Drosophila melanogaster: one gene and its partners. The protein of the gene in region 2 purifies or fractionates together with the protein of the main gene of each other region. This does not show direct contact. Each region holds a gene or a part of one and is shown on either strand. Other genes may lie near its edges.

Region 1 (7,353 bases), on a different chromosome or scaffold from region 2:
TTTGTTGGGGTGCAAATCCACTGGTTAAACGGTTGCTAGGCAACCTTTAGTCCAGGAACCAATTCCAAAACCAAGAAAACATAAATTCCCAGGCCGAATGCGAAATGCTTAAACCAAAACTCAAACAGCCAATTAAAAATCGATGTACAGATGTTTAGATTATTGAGAAAGTAAAATTCCAAAGAACAACTTGAACTTAATATGAAATCAAATCATGAAATTAGGAAATACACAACATTTTAAATCCCACCATCGGAAGAGGCCCAATAATAAAAGCCCAATCTTTTAATTTTTTAAATACGTATGTAATATATTTGACTAACGTATAGAATTTTAGGAGTATAACTAATGCTTCGCTTATCAAAGTACAAAAACGTTCAACTAACGCGATTAAGCTTAAACTATAAGTCAGTTTTTCCCCCTTCGCCAGGGAAGGAGAAAGAGCTGGCGTTTATAAATAGTTAGCAACGCTAACTGCTGGAAATGTTATTCTTTTTTTTCATAGTGTCAATATTGCAAATCGTAGGTGAGAGCAGTTCAGCAAAAGGCACCTTTATAGAATACCGAAACGGCGGAACTGAACAAAAATAGATTGTATTTACAATTTATGATTTGGGCCACCGCCTCACATAATGATCTGCGGTTCTGGGACACTGGCCGCAATGCTTTTATGGGGCAAGACCTGGCCTCCATTAATGTAGAGCTCATCCTTCACGATTACATCCTCGCCTAGCACGGTGATGCCTTCGATGCGAACCCAACGGCCAACTGTAGAACGCCAACCGACAATGCAGGAGTCCAGCCATGAGTGTGAGCGAACGATGGCGCCTTTGAGGATGGTCGAGCGCTTAATGCACACGCCATCCTCGATGACCACGTCCGGTCCAATGGTTACATTAGGCCCTATGCGACAACCCTCGCCGATTTTGGCCGTGGGATCCACCAACACGTTGCCCACCACTCCAGGGCCTGTGTACAGCTTGGGGGATTGCTTCTGGCGCAGCGAGCTTAGATACAGACACATGCCTGAAAAGGAATAAAATGGTGCAATAAGTAAAGCGATAAAGTCGATGTGTTCAAGCCCATTCAATAGCCTTCACTTTTAACGTTCAATGGTGACCAAAAAACATTTAAGAAACTGACTATTGCCAGTGTACTTCGCATATTTGATGAGCGTTACTTAGATCCTATGCAGTTAAGTAAGTAAGTAAGTAAGTAAGACAGCAATGTATCGTCCCAGTACATGTATTCATAAGTCGTGAATCGCATCCACATGAACCCAACAAACAATTTACTCTTCTACTTGGTTTCTCCCATCGCCCACTATCGGCCTAATGAGCCTCACTTCATTTAAAAAGAAATCGTTCTATCAAACATTAGCTATAGTTCCAGGAATGTCAATAATAGATAAAGCCGAAAGCCGGGTGGGTAAAAAGGCACAGCACAATTAACAACGACATCCACATTTGCTTTCAAAGCGATAAGACCAATTAGGCAATCAAGATTGAGCGAGCAAACGAGTGATTCTGTCTGTCGTACCGGTTAGGAAGTCTTTTGGCTGTCCGATGTCCATCCAGAATCCAGTTAAATCCATTGCATACAACTCCTGTTGCTGCGTCATTTCAGGGAACACCTCCTTCTCTATTGATGTGGGCTTAACTTCGATCCGGTCAAGCACGGAGGGATTAAAGATGTAAATGCCGGCATTGATCTTATTGCTAACGAACTCTTGTGGCTTTTCAATAAAGTTTTTTATACAGCCGTTCTCATCGTACAGCACAACTCCGTATTTGGATGGTTCTTCGACCTTTGTGACAACAATTGTGCCTTCTTTTCCGTGATTACAATGGAATTGCACTAGTTGTTTAAATGGAAAATCGCATATAACGTCCGAATTGAGCACGAAAAATGGCTCTGAGCTGGCTGCTAAAATCGTTTTTGCTAGGGCCAGAGGTCCAGCTGTTCCCAGGGGTTCCGTCTCGTGTGAGAAGATCAATTCCACGCCCAGTTTCTTGGCTTCGACTTTAAGCTCCTTTTCCATTTGCTCGGCTCGATAGCTGACGGCTAAAATAACCTGCGAGAAAGAAGTATGCATTATTTTAGAAATATAAAACAAAAGAATAATCTCTTTTAGAGGAAGTTGATTTGATTCTTAGCGTGTTATGTAACCGTCTTCCCTAAATTTGGCAACGGCAACCAATATGGAACAAGATCAACTGTTTTCTAAACATCCAAAGGTGTTTAAAAAACCTTGTTTTAAGAATGATGTGCCATATTTCCATTCTCCTAAGCAATGGGGCAGTTTGGGCGTCATTAGTCTAAAAAACTGGATATACCTGACGACATCCCGCATCGACGAGTGCCTCCAGTTGGTGGAGAAGAATCGGCTTATTGGCAAACTCCACCAGTGGCTTGGGCGTGCTGAGGGTCAGGGGTCGCAGCCGGGTCCCATAACCACCGACCAGAATCAACGCCCTCGTCCCGTTTCCCACAGCTGGATTTCCACACATCACTTCTCCGCTTCCGCTTCCGCCTCCTTTCCGTTCTCCGGTTTCTATAGTCCGTAAGCGAGCGACACGTCACACCTTAAAGTTCTCGAGACTTTCTCCGTACAACGAGATTCCGTTTCAGCGGTCAAACAACTGCAATCGACGAAGGCAAGTGAGTGACTCAGTTGGTTGTCTTTAGTTTATTGTTTACTCACCTTGTTGCGCTATCTATTTCCTTGTTGTTGTTTTTGGAATTGTCTTTTTTCGTGATAAGAACCTTTGTGCTTCTGGTTGGATGCACTTGCCTGTCCCAAAACAATAATAGTTTCTATTAGTTTTAGATGGACGTTTTCAAGGCTTAGGAATATCGATCTTGTCATTGAACATTCAATATGGTCTTTGTGTATTTTATTATCATTTGTTTTATGAGTAAACTCGCCGCACAGGAAAGTAAATAAAAACCGAGCTGGCAAAGTTGGGATAACACTATCGGAAGATGGCGATGATTGCGCTTCGTCCCACTCGCAGCAGCGCTGATAGCCGGATTCCACCGAACATTTTACGCTAAATTAATAAAATTTATTAAAATTCATTTCTTGTTAAATTGAAGAATCTTAAAAAATACTTTTCAGTTTAATTTAAATTAAATAACCTATCTAAAGACCACAATCAGGCATGTTCCGGTAATAGTAATATTTTTTCGATTACGATTTGGCAAAATCTTTCGACTTCGTTTTTAGGTGCTCGGGTTTTCGCGGAATTTTTGCGATCGGAATGTTTTGTAAACAGGAAACAGATGTCTAAGCTGTATTCCAGACAATGGAGCGACCAATTTTTTCACAGTTTTAGTTCCGATGTTCGCACTGCACTTTGTCCATTTAAGTAATTAAATTAAATAGTATTATTTACGAACAGTACTTTCGACCCTCCTTTAAATTAATTACGAATTTTTTTTCATTACATCTTATATGCATTTATACTGTTTATACTGTATTGTTTCACCAATAGTATAGCAGTCTTCCTGATAGCTTTTGTCGACATAATTATGAACACTTGCCAAATCGAAACTTTTTGTTGCCAACTGCAAAATTTTGTTTGTCAAATTTCAGGTGGGGTCAGAAATTACTTTTGTTTAATATAACTAAGTCTAAAAATGATCTTATGGTGATGTGGAACATAAACATCAATTAATAAATATCAATAGACCAGCAAACTATTTTTTCCCCTTAGTTAATAAGATCTGATTTGATATAAAAAAGGCATTTACTTTTTAAAAGGCCGTTTTACAAATTAAAATTTTCTTACGAATTCGATTACCGGAGCATTCCCGAATAATATTGTAGAGAGCAAAACGGGTTGATGGTTTCTAAGGTTTCAACGGCATTACTGTTTTGACTATTCCCTACATTTCAAAATATATCAAAAAGAAAATCCTAAAATGTACAGTAGAAATTCAGCTTTTTATAGCTTACTTAAAAGTTTCGCAATACTTATTCTTGAAAACGCAACTCAATGTAAGTTTATGTATAAAGTATACTTCTGTATACATTAATACAATTATAATTGTAATTAATTAAATCACTATAATTATAATTACCATGCATATCGCCTACAAACCAAATGCGGTCTGCGGCGAAGGTAACGGAAGGCCCCAAATGCATCGTTCACATTCAAATAAACAAAGCATTCCCCATCGGTATCGTTATCGGTTTTCGATGTCGATAGTCGTTCGTAGCAAGACGCGGTCTCACTGGTGCACATTGTTTTCCGTCGCGTGTGAAAATTGCTGAGTGTATAAAAACTGTGCATACTTAGAGAAAACTTCTGCATTTGGTTGAAAGGTAAGTGCGACTGCTGCGGACGCCATGGAGACCAAAAAGCTTTGCAAAGGCGAGCCTATGGCGATACGAAGAAGTAATTTGACCACTGATTTTATGGGGCTCCGAGCTCAGACGAGATACACATACGCACACATACACACGCTTACGTTTCAAATAGGCACCAGCGAGACGGAAAACAAAATGTCGACCGAATTGTATTTTCCTCTATTACTTTTTCCCACCGATTTGTGAAGGTTTATGCCTTTCGAAGGCTCGGAAAAGTGTGGTAAATTTGTGCTTTCCCAATTAGAAGTTTTTGATTGAGTGACATCTGGGTTTAAGTGCACTTTTTTCTGAGGGCAATCTCCAATATTGATTTTTACAATGGCTGCCGAGGAGTCTCATTCATTTTCCAGGAAAATGTGCACAGAAAAGCTTATACCAAAGTGCATAGGTGATTACAATTCCAAATGAATGATTTTCCAAATAGTTAGTTGATAAATTTACGAATAGAATTTTCTCGCAAATCAATTTTGATCGTCTTTCGTGTAGGTTATCCACTGATGAATACGTATGTGTGTCTTTTTATTCTATTCGAGTTGGTATTTTCTTTTATTTGATAAGGGGTGGGTGGGGGTCGAGCGCATCTTGTTTAGTTTTACTTTCTCTTTTATTTATGCTGCAAACTTCAGCGGGTGGTGCTCCATCCATGCTAGCATGTATGTATGTATTTAGAGTGAGTGTGTGTGAGTTAGTGAGTGAGACTGCAAGGCAATCACGTTTCTTATTCTCAGCATATTTATTTTCTGATCAATTTTTGGCCTCTTTTCAGCACTTTAATATTCTTTCCTCCCCTCTCCAGCATTTGTTTGAATTTTAATATTTAATTGTTAACGTACATATGTACATAGATACATACGTTTAGATACGTTTCAATGACGCGAGGGTTTCAGCAAGAAAGCAGATACATATATATACATATTTGTGTAGCCATTATTTTTTTTCGCTTCTTTGTGAAATTCGCTATGCTGCTGTGACGTCATAGGTCAATTTTTAAAGAGAAAAAATAAACAGCTGATTGCCAAATAGGCAGCACTGTCGTGCGAGCTAGAGTTGCCCTTCCTAAAAGGCCTACTAAATGTCATAAAATAGCCCTCATTGCACTGAACAAAACTCAACCCGGAGAACTCAGTGACGTACTTTTTCTGAATTTTAGGGATTATTACATCAGTTTTTGTATGCTTCCTTCATTCCTGATGCCATAGTATTACTAGCTTTGTCAACTTATACAGCAACTCAAACAACCCATGTGTATGGAAAGAACAAAATATGGTAAGTACCAGTTCATTTCTGAAAGAACTCTTAAAAGCAAATGGAAAATCGCTGAGGTACTGCCAAATTTCTTGTTATCCACTAACCACTCTGCCACGCATAAACGTTTGAGCTCATTTTCATTATCAATAACCTTGAAGGTTGATTGAACTGCGAAAGGAAATATTTTGACCCCCTAGACGGGATATAATTTGATTTCCGCCCCCGGAGCCCCCTGGCAACACCCTCCCCGCCCCGGGAGCCAACCCTGGAGCCGCCCCTACACTTGAGCCGTACAAATCCTGTCTGTCGTTTGATGACTTTGTGTGCAAGGAGAACGAGGCAGTCTTTGTATCTGACTGCGTGCTTCATTTCGTCGAGCTCCGTTTCGTTTAGCCTGCTCTCTGCTCACCGCTTCGCCCACCAACAAAAATACAAATAAATAAATGAAAAGAAGAGCCAAAACACAACTCGGAACTCGCTCTGCGCTTTGTTTGCCTGGCTCTTCTTTCCCTTCCCCCTCCCTCTTCCGTTTTCATCATTCGCCGTGTGTATGTGCGATGGACGAGCGAGTGTGCTGTGTGTGTGGGTTCGCTGGCGCCCGTGTGTGTGTGCGCCTTTGTACATTGAACTCAAAAATTCGAACTCGAGAAGAAAAGAAAAGAGTGAGAACGAGTGGAGACCAAGTCGGATAACCGACCCATCCCCTCCCTCTGGTGCCGTAGTCCACACACCTCATTAACCACCCGAAAAGGGGTCCCGAAGTCGTCTCGTATTCGTCGTCTTCATCCCAACTTAGAACCCTTTGATCAGGTTGCTTCGTCTGCTGACCCAGATGACGTCCATCCCAGATCCAAGACTTACCTAAAATGTTAAGTGAGTGGGACGTAAATGACTCCGATCAAAAAATAAATAATCCGTGTAATTCCTAAGAATGAAATATTACGAGAATGGCAAAACAGTTTATTCGAAATATCAACTGACTGATTGGGTCGTCTCAAATAGGATTAGTGCTAACAAATGGCATTTAATGCAATTCCTCTGAATTAGGGTGTACTATAAACTGTTGAACATCTGAAATATTGAGCTTGGGTTAGCTCTTTTTCCCCTGTTCCATACAAATCGATTTTTATAATAAATCAAAATATTGCAATGACCATTATGCATTGTTGCATTTTTAACAATTGCGAATTCTACAGTTATTGGATAGCCCAGATTTCAGTCTCAGCGCTATGGTTATATGGAAAATGAAAACTATTTTGTATAATATTTGAGATTTAGCGAACGGCAACCCTAAGGGAACGCTGCGTAGATTTGGATGCCTTTTTAGTTTTTGGTTGCCCGGCTTGACTCTGTTTTTTGTTCTTTTTTCTCCCTTTATTTCCTGATCATTACGATCCTGCTCTGATCTTGTACAGTTCTTTGCTGACAAGATGAAGTTCCGCGCACTGATGCAGGATCCGCTGTACATGAAAGAGTTCCAGGCCATTGTGGCCACTTTAACCAAGCTGGCGAAAGATTGTGTGATGATTCTGGGCTCTCGGCAGATGCATTTTATCGTGAACGAGGATCAGAGCTCCGCTGCATCGCCCTTGGTTTGGGCAGGAATTACAGCTGAGGAGTATTTTCCGGAGTATCGCATGGAGGCTGCTCACCCGGATCAGGAGTACATAGTTCTAGGCGTGTCTTCGGCGAATCTCGGAAGAGCTTTATCTGTGCTTCGTGGTGGAGGC
Region 2 (6,607 bases):
CTTCTTTTTGGAACCTCCTCCGGTGGCTTTTTGAGTGCGCCCCAACTGCATTTCCTTTAACTTAGCATCCAGACGCTTTTTTGCATTCTTCACATCCTCCTCCTGCCTGATGGTTTTCGCCGGCTTCGGGTGCAGAAACTTCTTGCGCTCGTCCCGCTTGATCTCCTCGCCACACCCGTGCACCTCTGGCAGTCCGTGCTTGAAGCAGAATCTCTTCTTGCAATGCTGGCAGTCTTGGCCCATCAGGCTGGTTTTGGTCTTGCAGCGCGGATAGTCGCAGAGGTTATCCACTTCCTTGACGGCTGTCAGCACATCGTCCAGCTTGAGATCCACCACCTGGCTGGGAATCCGCTCCAGTAGCTCCAATGTGTTGTTTGTCCCATAGTCAACTCTTTTTCCTGGTTTTGCGGGCGGGAACAGCGGAGCATCTTCAGTTTTCGACGAGGTAGAGGGCTTGTTTGGATCGTCTGCAGAAAATCATTTCATTAATGACCAAAACTTAAACATTTCTTGAGACAATTCGCACCTGCCATTGAAAAATATCTAAAATTCGACTAATATTTATGATGTTTTGCTAATTTCGTTAAATTTACATTTCAAGCCTAGAGGTGAAAGTTGCAAGACGTAAACAGCTGACTGTTAATCGATAGATCGATTGACGTCAAGCAGTGCATGCAGATGAATGTTATTTTCAAAAGTTTATTTTTTAATCATTTAGGTACTTAATTTAAAAATGTTTCTAAGCTATTTAAAGTATGTTGTAGTGTTATGGAAAATATATAAGAATACAACTGGCTAACTTTAAAAACATGTTTTCAATGTCAATTATTTTCCCACTTCAATACGATCCACAAAAAGAATTACACACCCACCAAAGATTAAATACTTCAGTAATGATATTGTCGATTTATTTAGTTACTACACACAGGTCAATAAACGTTGTAAGCTTAAATTATTTAACCAATCTTCGACGGCTTTCAATAGTGCGTAATTTTTGTAAAGTTTTTACTTTAATGTGGAACATTCGTTTCCGGTGTATAATATGTGTATATCCATCTAAAAGCCGCGTATAAACGTTTAGTAATTGCAATTGTTGTTGGTTTGATTTAAATGCCAATGGTGCAGACATCTGTGATCCAGCTTTGGGATTTCTAAATCGCATGCCCAATATATGTACATAGCTAGTCGTTGTACGTATCTATCCAATGGTGCGATCCAATGGTACGATTACAATTTGTTTTCGCAAGGACATGATGCACTTTCTCCTGATCCGGTGACAGCGGCATGGATCGCCTTGGCCACATATTCAACGTTGCCCTTATTCAGGCCACTCATGCTGATGCGTCCCGTCTTCAGCAGGTAAATGTGGTACTGGTCGATCAGCACACGAACATGGCTCTCGTTCAGACCGGTGTAGGAGAACATGCCGATCTGGTTGACAATGTGATCCCAGGTGCCGGGGGTGCCCAAGGCAACCAGCTTGTCCCGCAAAGCTGTACGCATCTCGCGGATGCGGCTCGACATTGCCTGGATGGAGGCCATCCACTCCTTGCGCAACTCCGGTGTGTTTAGGACTTTGGAAACGATGCGAGCTCCATACGCGGGCGGATTCGAGTACTGTCCACGAATGAGCAGCGTCAGCTGAGAGTGAACCGCTGCCTTGGTAGCACCATTCTTTTGCACCACAGCCAGATTGCCGGTACGTTCGCAGTAGAGGCCAAAGTTCTTGGCGAACGACTGGCAGATGAAGAGCTCGAAGCCACGCTGCACGAAGTACCTAGCGGCCCAGGCATCGCGATCGGGATCACCACTGGCAAAGCCCTGGTAAGCCGAGTCGAACAGCGGGAACAACTTCTTCTTCTCCATCAGATCGGCCAGCTCAGTCCACTGCTCCTGGGTGGGATCAATGCCGGTGGGATTGTGGGCACAGGCGTGCAGAATGATCACAGCACCGGGCGGAGCATCGTTCAGATCGGCCAGCATGTTCTTGAAGTCCAACTCGCGTTTATTTTGGTCCCAGTAGCGGTACGATTTAACGGTCGTAAAGCCGGCATCGCAAAAGATCTTGTGGTGATTCTCCCAGGTGGGGTTCGAGTAGTAAACCACATTGCGATTCAGTTGTGTGTGCAGGAAATCGGCGGCAACGCGCAGGGCACCCGTGCCCGAAATGGTCTGCACTCCAAAGGCCTACAAGAAAATTGCAGTCTAATAAAAGAGTACATATTTTTAGGTTGAGCCCCAACTTACGCGATTCTCCTTGATGGCTGGGGAATCGGCACCCAGAACCAATTCAGTGGCCGCATTGGTGAATGTTTCGAGTCCTGCAAAACAGAATCATTGGGTTAATTAAATTACTTTGATGAAATGCATTGCATTTACTCACCAGTCACTGGCAAATACTCGTGGTTAACCTGCTCATCGCTGGCAATGCTGATTTCCGTCTTGCGCACCACAGGCAAAACCCAAGGAACTCCAGCATCTGTCCTGTAAGCTGTGAATGAACGAAACCAAAGATCAAATGAGTAAACCAATTTATTCGAAGTCCACTGATTGCTCAAGTGTTTAGGGAAATACATGGGTCAAAGTGCTAAAATCCGTACAATATTCAAGTCTTATCTGAATGCTCTTAACAAGCCTAATCAATCCTCATTGCTATAGGCCATTTGATATTGTTTTCATGCGTTGTTTCTAGGCCAATTTATTTATTTATTGGAGCAACTGAAAAGCACTGGCGTCGTGTTATACGAAACCAATTGAATGAATTGGTCTGGTAATGTTTATACTTTTGCAGCATTGTAAATAAAAGCGAAGGCGCGATAAACAAGCCATAACGACAATAAATTGACGGAAATGAGAAGAATGAATAATTAAGCTCATTAAAACATCCATTTGCTTGAGTTAATATGGTAATAAAATACCATGATTCGATATAAGTTTAGTTTAAAGATACCTTTTGTAAATCAGCTGATTTTGGCATTGAATATACATATTTATTAATTCTAATGCTATTAAAACCAAAATACGTCGAATAAATTGGCATAATCATTTACACGAGCAAGGGTTAATGACTCTTGGCTTTGCGAGCAAAACAAAAATACAATAATCGGCGACTCTGCTGGTGGGAATTGTTATTTAAATTATGCAATAACATTCATAAATATAGAAAAGGTGAAGCAAAATTGCTCTTGAACGACCCGGCGGCAATATTGTTGTTGTCGTTCCTTCAAATTTTCGCTGGCTGAATGTATTGTATTGGAGGAAATGGATGGACGTGGTGTACCTGCCAAAAACAAGTGGCTTATCATCATCCGCCACACAAAAACATACATAGGCAATAAATAAATACGGTGTTAGCTGACGTCAGAGGAAAATATAGAACAAAGAAAGTCGCAAAAGAAATTCACTACTAAAAAAAATTAGATTGATATTTACAATCGGAGCTTTAAAATACTACGTTTTGAGCTGCTAATTTAAGCAAACATTGAGTTTAAATATTATTGAGAAGCTGAAACAAAATGGAATAAGCAAAATATGTAACTAAGTAATTAAGAAATAGGTTGTAATATTTAACCATATAGAGTATTTGAAATTGTTTACACACACACAAAATCCACAATTGGTTATAAGCCAACTAATTGGAAAGCAAGAAGGATGGAAAAATCTGTGCAATTCATACATTGCGACATTGACATCCAAATGACCTCCAGCAGAGTGGCCTGTTGGGTGGCAAACGGAAACGGGCGTTCCAGCGGTGCGGGGGGTGGCGAATTGCAAGGGCAAGCCAACTAGCAAATGATAGCAAATTGAGCCGCACACAAATACAGCCGGCTAAGTAATACACATATACTTTTTATAAACATATGCACATACATAGGTATGCACTTCATTCTGTTAGAGGAGGGGGGTGGGGTGAGAAAATAGAACTTTAGAACTTACCGCCCACCGACAAATTGACCTTGTTGGGATTGCTGTCGTCCTTGAAGGCCTGCGTCAGGGCGAAGACCTCGATGGCGGGTCCTTTTGGAACGTCGGCGTAGATGGACATCGTGGATAGCTTGGGAAACAAGTCCAAACGGAGCGACAATAACAAATAAATTAATTTGGAATAGTGTCGGCAAAGACGGCCAAAAGTAGTGTGGCTGCACTTGTCTAAATCAAATTGGCCCACAAAAGCTCAGTCGATGAAATTATCGATATTTATACTAAAAAATTACTGAAAAAAATTATGACACGGAAATTCGAAAAAATGTCTTCTGATTGCATGAATTTTAATTGAATTTTTATATTTTGCAGGCGTTTATGGCTAAATAAAAGGTATTTTCAGAAAAATTCGATTTTCATGTTTCGGGGCTAGTGCACTGACTTCAAAGAGCTGTTCCTACCTGGAAGTTTTGTAATAAACCGGGATAATTAAGTCGTTTTAAGATAATAAACATTTTCGCCAGTTTTGCTTGAAATTTTGAAGCAACAATCTCAGAAGGAGTAAAATAACAAATAACTCAAAACGAAAATATCAAGGCCAGTTTAAAAAAATTTTCGGTCCCAGAAAAATTAAACGCAATCGAGGAAAGTGATTTAAAATGTTTCTTTATTGCCCCGGATGATTACCTTATTTGCTAAACAATTAGTTTGGTTTATTCTTAGCCAAATATCGATGGACCAATATTTGATTGCTCGCAGTCTTTATGTCGCTTTCAATTTGCGTTCCAATTAGGCTAGCATTCGATTGAGATTCAACAAATAGAAAAGCAAACTCGAGGACTGATTGGTGTTGGTTTTGGTTCAAAATAGTTTTGCTGTAATATTCAGTAATTGCTGAGGGTGCACACATTTCTCCAATTCGTTACACAACTAACTAAGGCTATGATTAAAATTATGTTCAGTGTAAAACTAAGGCGTTATGATAAAATTGATTAAATAGACTACGCACTTATACAATGGCCCGGTGCTTATCTATATTTACAATTCATATTAAATATACATTCGTTAATATAAATATCCAAACTGCACGACCTACGCATTCGATGCCTGAGATAATCTATTTACATTATCCGATCTGAGGGAGCACTTCTTCGAATGCGAGTCCGCTTGAAACTCTTGCTAATTTTGATTTAGTCTAAAATACCAGAGCTAGACCTATCTACGACTACGTGGGTGAAGCAAGGTATCCTGGGTACCCAAGACCTTTGACGTTTACAAGTAAAATGATCTGTGTTATGTTATGACTTGGTGAGTGAGTGAGTGCCTGGGTGAGAGTTTTTGATTTTGTTTGTATATATATCTACAAATCGGTGTGGCGTGCTTGAACGTGTTGGCATGGTGGTCCTTTCCCCCATTTTCCTCCTTCCTCCGATCCCTTCCAATAGGAACATGAACATCGGGAACTTGTCCGCCCAACTGAGCAAGGTGTCCCCGTCCCCGTAAGCTTCCAGTACGATCCGATGCGGGATGTGCGTGGTGCGAGTGACCGTAAATTAAATTAAAGATGGTTTTCAGTCAGTATCAGTTCACCCGGCATGCCATCGGAGCTCTGAGTGCGCAGCATAACCTCCAGAATCGGCTGGTATTAGGCAATCTGACCGCGCTCATCCCGCTGCTGTTGCTGAGCCGTGGCATCTAAAAGGTACAATTAATACACATTCATTAGAAACTTGTTCCGCCAAGCAAAGCACACAGAAAGCCATGAAGAACAGGGTATGGATTAGGGTCAAGTAACTGAGATTAGTACAACGCAACAATGGAACGCACGCAGAACTGAACGTTTTAACGAAATTTAGAGCATTCCACCTACCGGGAACTGGGCCAAAATAAAGTAATCATTTGGTGCCGCGCACCAGAATGCATATTTCATATTTTTAGCTATCACGTGCGTTCGCGCAGCGCGATGTCAGTGCAAAGGACCAGGCAGTCCGAGTTGAAGGACTCGACGTCCTTTTGCCCGCTGGCCAAGGCGACTGACGATCGAACCGCCTGCGCTCCCTGATCGCCTGGCAATATCAAACGGAAGACAGTTGAGCCAAAGAGTGGGCAAATAAGACACCTTCTGATTAAAAAGTATCCATTGTTCTAACAATTAACTTTAAAAGAGGGGTGTAAAGTCTTCTCTATATACATTTTAGCTTAAAATCTAGTCTATAGACCTTTCTTTAAACAAATTACATTTGCTCAAACTTTTTCGGTTACTTTTTAATCAGAAAGCTAATAGATAGTTGAGAAAGGGGCATTTAGATCTGAATCCAACCCATTCAGCTTACCTTGCAGTCCTCGTGTGGCATTGTACTTGTCTTTGATGATAAAGCAGGCGGTGAATATGAAGAAAATGCCGCCCAGCACCTCCACAAAACTGGTGGAGAAGAGCGCATATTGCAGTCCCTCGAATTGCTCCACATCAGAGTACTAAAATAAGCAAAACCAGGGAGTTAGTCAGAGTGAACTCTAAGTTTAAGTGGATTCCACCTACTTCCTGAGAGGCTGACGAGCGTGCTGTTTCCATCAAACTGGTGGTGGCTTCCGCGATCACCTGGGTGGCATTACTGATCGCGGAACCTGCCACTTGGGACATGCTTCGCAGCTCGGTGGTCAGTCCAGAGTCGCTGGGGTTCTTGTG
Region 3 (4,206 bases), on a different chromosome or scaffold from region 2:
TCCCACACGGACTTTGCCGCCGTTGGGGCGGCACACTCGTGTGAATCACGATGCTTACGATGTCGCAAGGCTTTTTTTGGCCGAACTCACCATTACTATCTTATCCGAAAAAGATTGAAATTTAATTAGAGTTATCAATTTCAATGGGGGTTTAGGCCACGCCACATTAATCCGGCCAACCGAGTGCCCGGCCCAGTCTTTGCCAATCACCGCATGGGACCAGAGGATATCCGGACAATCCACTGGCCACGTAATCAATCACTTTATGGACTAATAGCCGACAGCCCACAGAAACATGCACAAGGCCATTAAAAACAAATCCAGTAAGTAAGTGTGCGAAAATGGAAAATTCCGCTAATACAATTTGGATAATTATTAAACCAGGGCTCCTCTGCGGACTCAAGAACTCCAAGGCGGATCTAACGACAGCCAAGTTTATACTATATTATGGGTAAGAACTAATATTATTATTAGTAAATATGAAGAAAAATTATACATAAAGCCATGTTATTGCACTAATATCCAAATTTCTTAAATATATTCAAGTATTCACCTATAGCATTATCTTTTATTCACAGACCCACGGTGGCAGATAGCGATATCTATGACCTAACCGATTTCCAGAGTCTTCTGGAGGACGAGCACTTGGATTTGGGCAAGAACACCGTGCTCTATTTGCACGGCTACTTGGAAGATCCGGATGTGGAGAGCATTCACGTCATAGCCGAGGCCTATCTGGAGCGAAAGGATACCAATCTTATCGTCCTAGACTGGGGTGAACTGGCCGATGGCAATTACATGTTCGATGCCTTCCCGAACCTCAAACAGCTGGGCCCAGAGTTGGCCAAGGTCCTGCTCAAAATGTTCGACCATGGCCTGGACATTGAGAAGTTCCACATTGTCGGACACTCGATGGGCGGCCAGCTGGCCGGACTCCTCGGCCGAGAGATTACTAAACGCACCAAGGGTGTCAGAAAGATAAAAAGGTAAAATGAAAGAGGTTTGATTTCAAATTATTTATTCATGCTCGGTTCGATTTTAGTCTATGCCGACGTCATGATATACGATGTTTAATATACGATATTTAGTTAATAATTTTAATGTCCAAAGCTTAACACTTTTGTATTACCATATGGTAATACAAAAAGTTTTTTTTTAGAATCGTTGTTCGGCAAAGTTTATAAAGTTTATATTGAATCCTTTTCTTGTCTCACTTATCTCCAATCTTCTTTTATAGAATTTCCGCTTTGGATCCCGCATTTCCGCTCTTCTATCCGGGCACGCACCTGTCTGCCAATGATGCGGAGTTCGTCGACGTGATACACACGGACGCCTGGCTGTACGGAGCTCCGACGAGCACGGGCACGGCGGATTTCTGGCCAAATGGTGGATACAGCCTGCAGCCTGGCTGTCCCAAGCGAAACTACAAGATGCTCAGCGACAACGATCTGTCCAGTCATCGGAGGAGCTGGTGGTTCTGGGCCGAGAGCGTTTCGGATCGATATCCCATTGGATTCGATGCTGTGCCCGCCAAGAAATGGTCGGACTTCAAGCAGAACAAAATAGTAGAGAATTGCCCGCCCGTGGTGATGGGTCATCATTGTCCCACGACGTAAGTTTCTACTTGCCTTATATGCATAGCGCAGAATTTAGTTTCATCATTTGAAATTGTGATTTTCAGAATTCATGGCGACTTTTACTTACAAACCAACGGACATACACCTTTTGCTCGAGGCAAGGAGGGCACTGTCTACGTTGACCCCAAGGATCTGCTGGGAAATACCCACAGCATCACCTGTGACTGCCCGTCGGAGAAAACGAATTAATAAGACCATCTACAATTGCACTGTGTACATTATGAAATGTAGCTATATTAATATTGTTGTTTCTATGACGCCTTACACCACATTTTGATTTACGAGAAAAATATACTTAAATTTTGTTGTTGAAAAAAACTTTGCATTACTTTGGGGTATTTATACATTATTATTGCACTATTTGGGGTTTTAAATGAGTTTTATTAATTACTTTTTTTGAATGGATTTTTTGAACTTTCAAATAATTTAAATCTGGTTGCTGGTTCCGCTCTTGCAATTCATTCCGGAACCAGTTCGAAAGTTGCGATATCGATAACACAGCTATCGACCCGTCAACCTCTGCCACCGATAACATTGTTTGCAACAATTGAGCATATTGACAACAAAACGAAATTCGACAGGCTAAAATGAAGATAAAACTAATAGATTCGGTGGTGCGCAGTTTTAAGGTGGCCAAGATCTTCCGAGAGAACACGGACAAGATCAACGCCATCGATTTTGCGCCCAACGGCGAACATCTAATATCCTGCAGCGAGGATGACCAGATCGTGATCTACGACTGCGAAAAGGGGACGCAGTCGCGCACGGTGAACTCGAAGAAGTATGGAGTGGATTTAATCCACTTTACGCACGCCAACAACACGGCCATCCATAGCTCCACCAAGGTGGACGACACCATACGCTATCTCAGCCTGCACGACAACAAATATCTGCGCTACTTCCCCGGCCACACCAAGAAGGTTATCTCGCTGTGCATTTCGCCGGTGGAGGACACCTTTCTCTCCGGCTCGCTGGACAAGACGCTGCGCCTGTGGGACTTGCGCTCGCCCAACTGCCAGGGACTGATGCATCTCTCTGGACGACCCATTGCTGCCTACGATCCCGAGGGCTTGATCTTCGCCGCTGGCGTTAACTCGGAAAGCATTAAATTGTACGACCTTCGCTCTTTCGACAAAGGCCCCTTCGTCACATTTAAACTTAATCAGGAGAAGGAATGCGACTGGACTGGCCTTAAGTTCTCCCGTGACGGCAAAACAATTCTGATCAGCACGAATGGATCGGTCATCCGGCTCGTAGATGCCTTCCACGGCACTCCGCTACAAACGTTCACGGGCTATCCAAACAACAAGGGCATTCCCATCGAGGCAAGCTTCAGCCCAGACTCGCAGTTCATCTTTTCAGGCAGCACCGATGGACGAGTGCACATCTGGAATGCCGACACTGGCAATAAGGTGTCCGTACTGAATGGTGACCATCCGGGACCGGTGCAATGCGTTCAGTTCAATCCAAAATACATGATGCTGGCGTCCGCGTGCACCAACATGGCTTTTTGGCTGCCCACATCCGAGGAGGGCTTGTAGGCAATGATTCCCGCTTGCTTAGCTTATAAGATTACAATTTAATTTATAAATAATAAATCAACATAACATAAACAGAGGCCTCTAACTGGATTCCTGGGGCTGGTCCTTGTGGCGGTCGTATCCTCTACGTATGCTGTTCAGGAGTTGTCCAAGATTATGACCCATTTTGGCACTAATGCCGAGCACGGGATTTTGCAGGCGACGTTGCAGTTCCTCAAAGTTGTTTTGGCCCTCTTCCACGTCCAGCTTATTGGCCACCACCAATTGCGGGCGACTCGCCAGACGTCCGCCAAACTGGCGGAGTTCGTGCATTAGCTGCTCATAGTGCGTCCATGGCTCCGGTGCACTGGCATCTAACACGAACAGCAACAAGGTGCAACGCTCGGCGTGCTTTAGGAACTGTATGCCCAAGCCCTTATTGCGATGAGCATCGGGCACGAGTCCGGGAAGATCGGCAATGGTGAGCTGGACATGATCATCGTACTGGACGGTTCCCAAGTGCGGACGCAGCGTGGTGAAGGCGTAGGGAGCAACCTTTGGCTTGGCCCGTGTCAGTGCATTCAGTAGGGTGCTTTTGCCAGCATTGGGGTAACCAATCAAACCCACATCCGCCATGCTGCGCAGTTCCAGAGTGTATGATAGATCTTCACCCCTAGGACCGTATTCGCTGACCTTGGGACTTGTTTCCTTGTCCGTGGTAAAGAAACGGTTGCCCTTGCCACCGGCTCCTCCTCGAGCGGCCACAAACATAAGATCCGCTTGTCCCAGATCCCCGACAATTTGACCTTGCGCATTCCTGATCACCGTCCCGATTGGAACCTTGATCACAGAATGCTTGGCGTTCTTGCCATGACAATCCTTGGAGCTGCCCGGCTCTCCTTCTTCAGCTTTCAGAACACTCCCCACGTGGTTAAAGTTGCGCACATCGTTAGAGGCCTGGAACACCACATGCCCGCCGTGGCCACCGTCTCCGCCATCTGGACCGGCCCTTTCATTGCACCATAGCTGCAGGAAGGACACGCAACCGT
Region 4 (3,892 bases), 6.0 Mb from region 2:
GGATGCCGAGAGCGATGTTAGTGTGGGCGAGCTAAAGGAGTTTGCCTCGCCGGATGAGTCCACCACGGCCAAGTTGCTGGCCGTGAGCACAGCAGCCAAGAATCTTAAGCGCAAGATGCCATCAGAGAGCCAGTCCAATGCCATAGCGTCCACCTCGAAGGCAGCAGAGGTTGCCCAGTCCCAATCGCAGCCGATGGCCACCGGAAATGCAGGAGCTGCCAAAGCTGCGGGAGGCTACTCCCCAAAACTGTTTTATGGCAATCATCAGCGAAGCGGCGTGATTGTCAGTCCTGTGTCCCAGAATCTGGGGGTGGCTGCGACAACGGACAATGTGGCGCCCGGATCGGAGGCTCTTGAGGAGCCGGAGGAGGCGAAAAAAGCACGTAGAGTACAAAAGGCCAACAGATATGTAAATACGCCCGGCAAACGCAGTAAATAAGCATTAGGACCTACGCATATACACTTTACATATTTTTTACCACTTATTTACATATAAAGCGTGCATGCCGTCGTTCACCTGACCCCACGGATGTGGATTAGGGAACGAGGCATGCGCCGTAGTGTTAACGGAGGAATCAAATTAATATTATATACACATATATCTATTAATATCAAATGCAATAGGCATTTCGAATATTATTCATTATTATTATTATTATTATCACGTACAACAAGTGTCTGTATGTTCTTCGGTTTTAACGCCCCGCAAAAACAAATTGTAGTTAACCACGAACATCACACGAATCCGGCAGTCATTGGCAGAGCAAAACAGATAATAATAATTAAAAAGCAAATTAATTTTAACTAAGAAATACAAAAAGAAAAACAGCAAAGAAATATTTTAAATAAAACTTTAAAACCATTAAAATCAACTGCTACGAATGTGGTTTTTAGTATACTAATTTTAATTGCGGAACGAGAATTGATGTTCTGTGGACTTTGTCGCGACAGAAACTTCTAGAACAAAATGTGGAAAGTGACACCTAGAGATAAGATAATTTTATTTACAAGATTAAAGATGGAAACAAGTTTACAGCTTTTGTGAGCGCTCCTTGCCAGCCAGTGGCTTATTGCGTTCATCCCAAAGTGTGACCCCATCACATGCACAGATTCTCTTAAAGTTTTCCAAGATGCCCGCCGAACGAGCAATTATACCACACGCAATCCTAGTGGGAAAGGAGTTATACAAATCAATGATCAATCTGAAAGTGGGGCATATTTACATACCTTTCCCCAGAGTTGCCGTCAATCAGGCTCTGATCATTGCCCCCGCGTCCCAGGTCATCGGCATTGGCTGTTAGGACGACAGCCCTTCCGATTATGTCCCAGACCTCTAGCACTGGATCCACAAATCTAAAGGTGGCCCTGCCGTTTTCATCCGCTCGGATGTTGCCAAGATCTCCGGCGTGCCGCTCCTCTGCCCCAGCTGCAGGGCTTCCATGTGGCGACTGGCGGGGATTGTAGTGTTCTCCGACCGACGAGCAACCTGCGGAAGTGTCACCACTCTCGTGAATATGTAATCCGTGCAGTCCAGGCGATAGACCGTCCACAACGCCATCCACAACCACTCCAGGCTTCTTGTCTGCGGTAATGGTGGTAAACCGAACCACTCCCTGGATTGGTGTCTTGTCCACTACACTTCCTGTTGTGTTTATAAGGGCCACCGCCGACTGGCCGCCGAATCCGGAGAGTACGGCCCGGACACCTGTGGCTTCTATCTTGTCCTGAATCTCTGACCAAGGTCGTTGGGTTTGGATTATCACTCGACCTTCCTGGGTGTCAATTTCCACCTGGCCGACCCCATCCAGCGCCGAACGGAGGGCACCGGCATAGGATTCGTCACCTCTTCGCATCTGCACTGCAAATTCGATCTGCACATTAACATGGAAGCAAGTTTCCTGACCCGAATAACATATACTTACCTTAATGGAGCTCATTTTTATGGTCAAAGTGCCGACTAACAATGATAAACAAACTTTGGTATCGATGGCCGTCGATAGGTTCAGACAAATCGCGCCTTCTGTCATCGAAGAACGATAGGTTCACACGGAACGAAAGTTTAAGGCGTTTGTAAACCACTTATCCAATAAATTATAACGTTGAACTGATATTACTAGTTACGTATTAGAACACAGATGTAATATTTTTATCGTAGAACGTTTTACATTTACAAAACCAAAGTTACTAGCTTCGGTTTTGAACTTTTGCATAAATTGCGTGCTTTTTGATGAAGAAAATGAATTCTGGTATTTCTATTTAAGTCACTCCATATTTCCAAAATGACTATATTAATAATATTTGTGATGTTTGAAATTTATATAGATTACAACTATATTTTAAGTGAATAGATTAAAGCTTAATTTAATAGGGCTAAGTACCTTGGATATAATCATTGGTTTTCTGTTTAGTTTGACCAACAATTTTATAATCTTAAGCTGACTTTGTCCAACTCTTCTGGACCGATTCAAAACGCTAACCCCGAACTAGCTTAGATGCTAACTTATTTAATTTCCGTGCTAATTTTCAGACCTGTAGCTCCATTCACTTCATATTACGTTTTATAATTTTGGCTTAACTTTTCTTTATGGCCGCCGACAGTTTTAATCAATGGCCATAAAGAGTATTTTTAAGCCAAATGATGCTAATTTTTTGGAATTGATAGCGCTAATTTTTGTCTACAAAAACCGCAAGCGACAGATGCTGGCTTATTGAGGCCCAAAAAAAAAACGTGCAACCAATATGAATGAAGCTTTTCCATGCGCGCCACTTTATTGCAGCCAATTGCGCCTTGACTTTCATTGTGCAAAATAAATTAATTTCACTTGGACCCCGTTATTGATAGCAATTTAAAAACAATTGAGAAATATTTAATATTGCCTTCAATTGAAGAACTGTAAAAGGAAGCACTACAACAAAGAATTATGATAAAACCGTTCAATTCCCAAAAATTTGGCGAGTCGGCACATGGCTTTGTCAATTAAGGCCTTTCTTAGCACGTCGATCTAGGGATAGAGATGAATGATATCGGTGGATAACAATTAGTCGCTATTAGAGTACCGTTACTAGACCTTAAGTTCAACACTAGGAATGTAAGAAATTTAGTTTCTTTCCCAATGGTTATGTGGCTATTCACATTAGTAATATTATTTAATGTTTGTATTAACTTATATATAAGTTGAGTTAGTTCCGCAGATCCGTAATAATTTTTACAAGTCTGAGATGGTCCACCCTAACGACAGATCGACGCCATACGCCCTGAGCCACTCTGAAGAGAAGAACGCCCACACAAAAAGGCAATGTTCTCTTTGGGGCAGCGACTAATGGCAACAGCTGTTCTTGTTGATAAATAGCATAAAGATTTTTGTCGCCTTGTTTTGTGAGAGAGCAACAAATGCAAGTCAGCCTCTGAAACAATCACCTGGAAGGATACGTGTGTCGGGAATGTAGATAGATAAGTTGGTCTGGATAGTGCGTGCCACGGAAAATTAGCCTTGCCTTTGTTTCACTTGCATTCCACAAAGACGCACGCACACACACACGTGCACAGAATGACCCTTACAGTGGGGCTTTGGTATTGGTATTTGTATTTGCGGGTCGAACGCCACGCTCTTTTGGAGCGAGAGTGAGAGAGCGAAGAGAGAGAGAAACATAACGGGCTAGTGTATTTATTTTAATATTAGCTTTGTGACGTTCGCTCACCAAATCAGTATTTTTCGTACCATCGGCGTTAAAACACATGTTCAGCGATTTAGTGCGGGAGTGTAAACTAATCTGAGTAACAACAACAGCATCGTCGGCAAAGCAACAACAACGGCAGCAGAAAATTTTAACACGTTGACGCTTTTTCTAGTGTTTATAGCGAGCGGAAAAGCTTACTAAGCGCGTAACAAGC

Evidence for each region.
Region 1: the proteins of Got1 (region 2) and Gmppb purify together in Drosophila melanogaster (affinity purification with mass spectrometry, with the first as the bait; one large-scale study listed by BioGRID). This does not show direct contact.
Region 3: the proteins of Got1 (region 2) and Wdr82 purify together in Drosophila melanogaster (affinity purification with mass spectrometry, with the first as the bait; one large-scale study listed by BioGRID). This does not show direct contact.
Region 4: the proteins of Got1 (region 2) and Ccs purify together in Drosophila melanogaster (affinity purification with mass spectrometry, with the first as the bait; one large-scale study listed by BioGRID). This does not show direct contact.

What each region holds. Positions count from the first base shown.
Region 1 is NT_033777.3:4,808,960-4,816,312, reverse strand, and holds Gmppb (GDP-mannose pyrophosphorylase B), read right to left. Parts: upstream 4,870-7,353; 5' UTR 4,087-4,869; intron 3,054-4,086; 5' UTR 2,705-3,053; intron 2,675-2,704; exon of another isoform or gene 2,643-2,674; 5' UTR 2,511-2,642; coding exon 2,337-2,510; intron 2,075-2,336; coding exon 1,540-2,074; intron 1,027-1,539; coding exon 626-1,026; 3' UTR 501-625; downstream 1-500. Other genes in the region: Hus1-like, read left to right, coding at 7,054-7,353. UniProt on the Drosophila melanogaster protein: Catalytic subunit of the GMPPA-GMPPB mannose-1-phosphate guanylyltransferase complex. Catalyzes the formation of GDP-mannose, an essential precursor of glycan moieties of glycoproteins and glycolipids. Can catalyze the reverse reaction in vitro.
Region 2 is NT_033778.4:16,136,214-16,142,820, reverse strand, and holds Got1 (glutamate oxaloacetate transaminase 1), read right to left. Parts: upstream 4,470-6,607; 5' UTR 4,437-4,469; coding exon 4,383-4,436; intron 4,143-4,382; exon of another isoform or gene 4,055-4,142; coding exon 3,937-4,054; intron 2,492-3,936; coding exon 2,384-2,491; intron 2,322-2,383; coding exon 2,248-2,321; intron 2,188-2,247; coding exon 1,228-2,187; 3' UTR 893-1,227; downstream 1-892. Other genes in the region: CG30094 (uncharacterized protein), read right to left, coding at 1-467, 527-533; spin (spinster), read right to left, coding at 5,863-5,987, 6,255-6,396, 6,461-6,607.
Region 3 is NT_033779.5:8,372,303-8,376,508, forward strand, and holds Wdr82 (WD repeat domain 82), read left to right. Parts: upstream 1-2,158; 5' UTR 2,159-2,224; coding exon 2,225-3,178; 3' UTR 3,179-3,247; downstream 3,248-4,206. Other genes in the region: CG17292 (uncharacterized protein), read left to right, coding at 296-323, 385-451, 579-986, 1,238-1,612, 1,682-1,826; CG13390 (uncharacterized protein), read right to left, coding at 3,260-4,206. UniProt on the Drosophila melanogaster protein: Component of the SET1 complex that specifically di- and trimethylates 'Lys-4' of histone H3.
Region 4 is NT_033778.4:10,120,588-10,124,479, forward strand, and holds Ccs (copper chaperone for superoxide dismutase), read right to left. Parts: upstream 1,988-3,892; 5' UTR 1,938-1,987; coding exon 1,923-1,937; intron 1,872-1,922; coding exon 1,228-1,871; intron 1,167-1,227; coding exon 1,031-1,166; 3' UTR 986-1,030; downstream 1-985. Other genes in the region: dmpd (dampened), read left to right, coding at 1-439.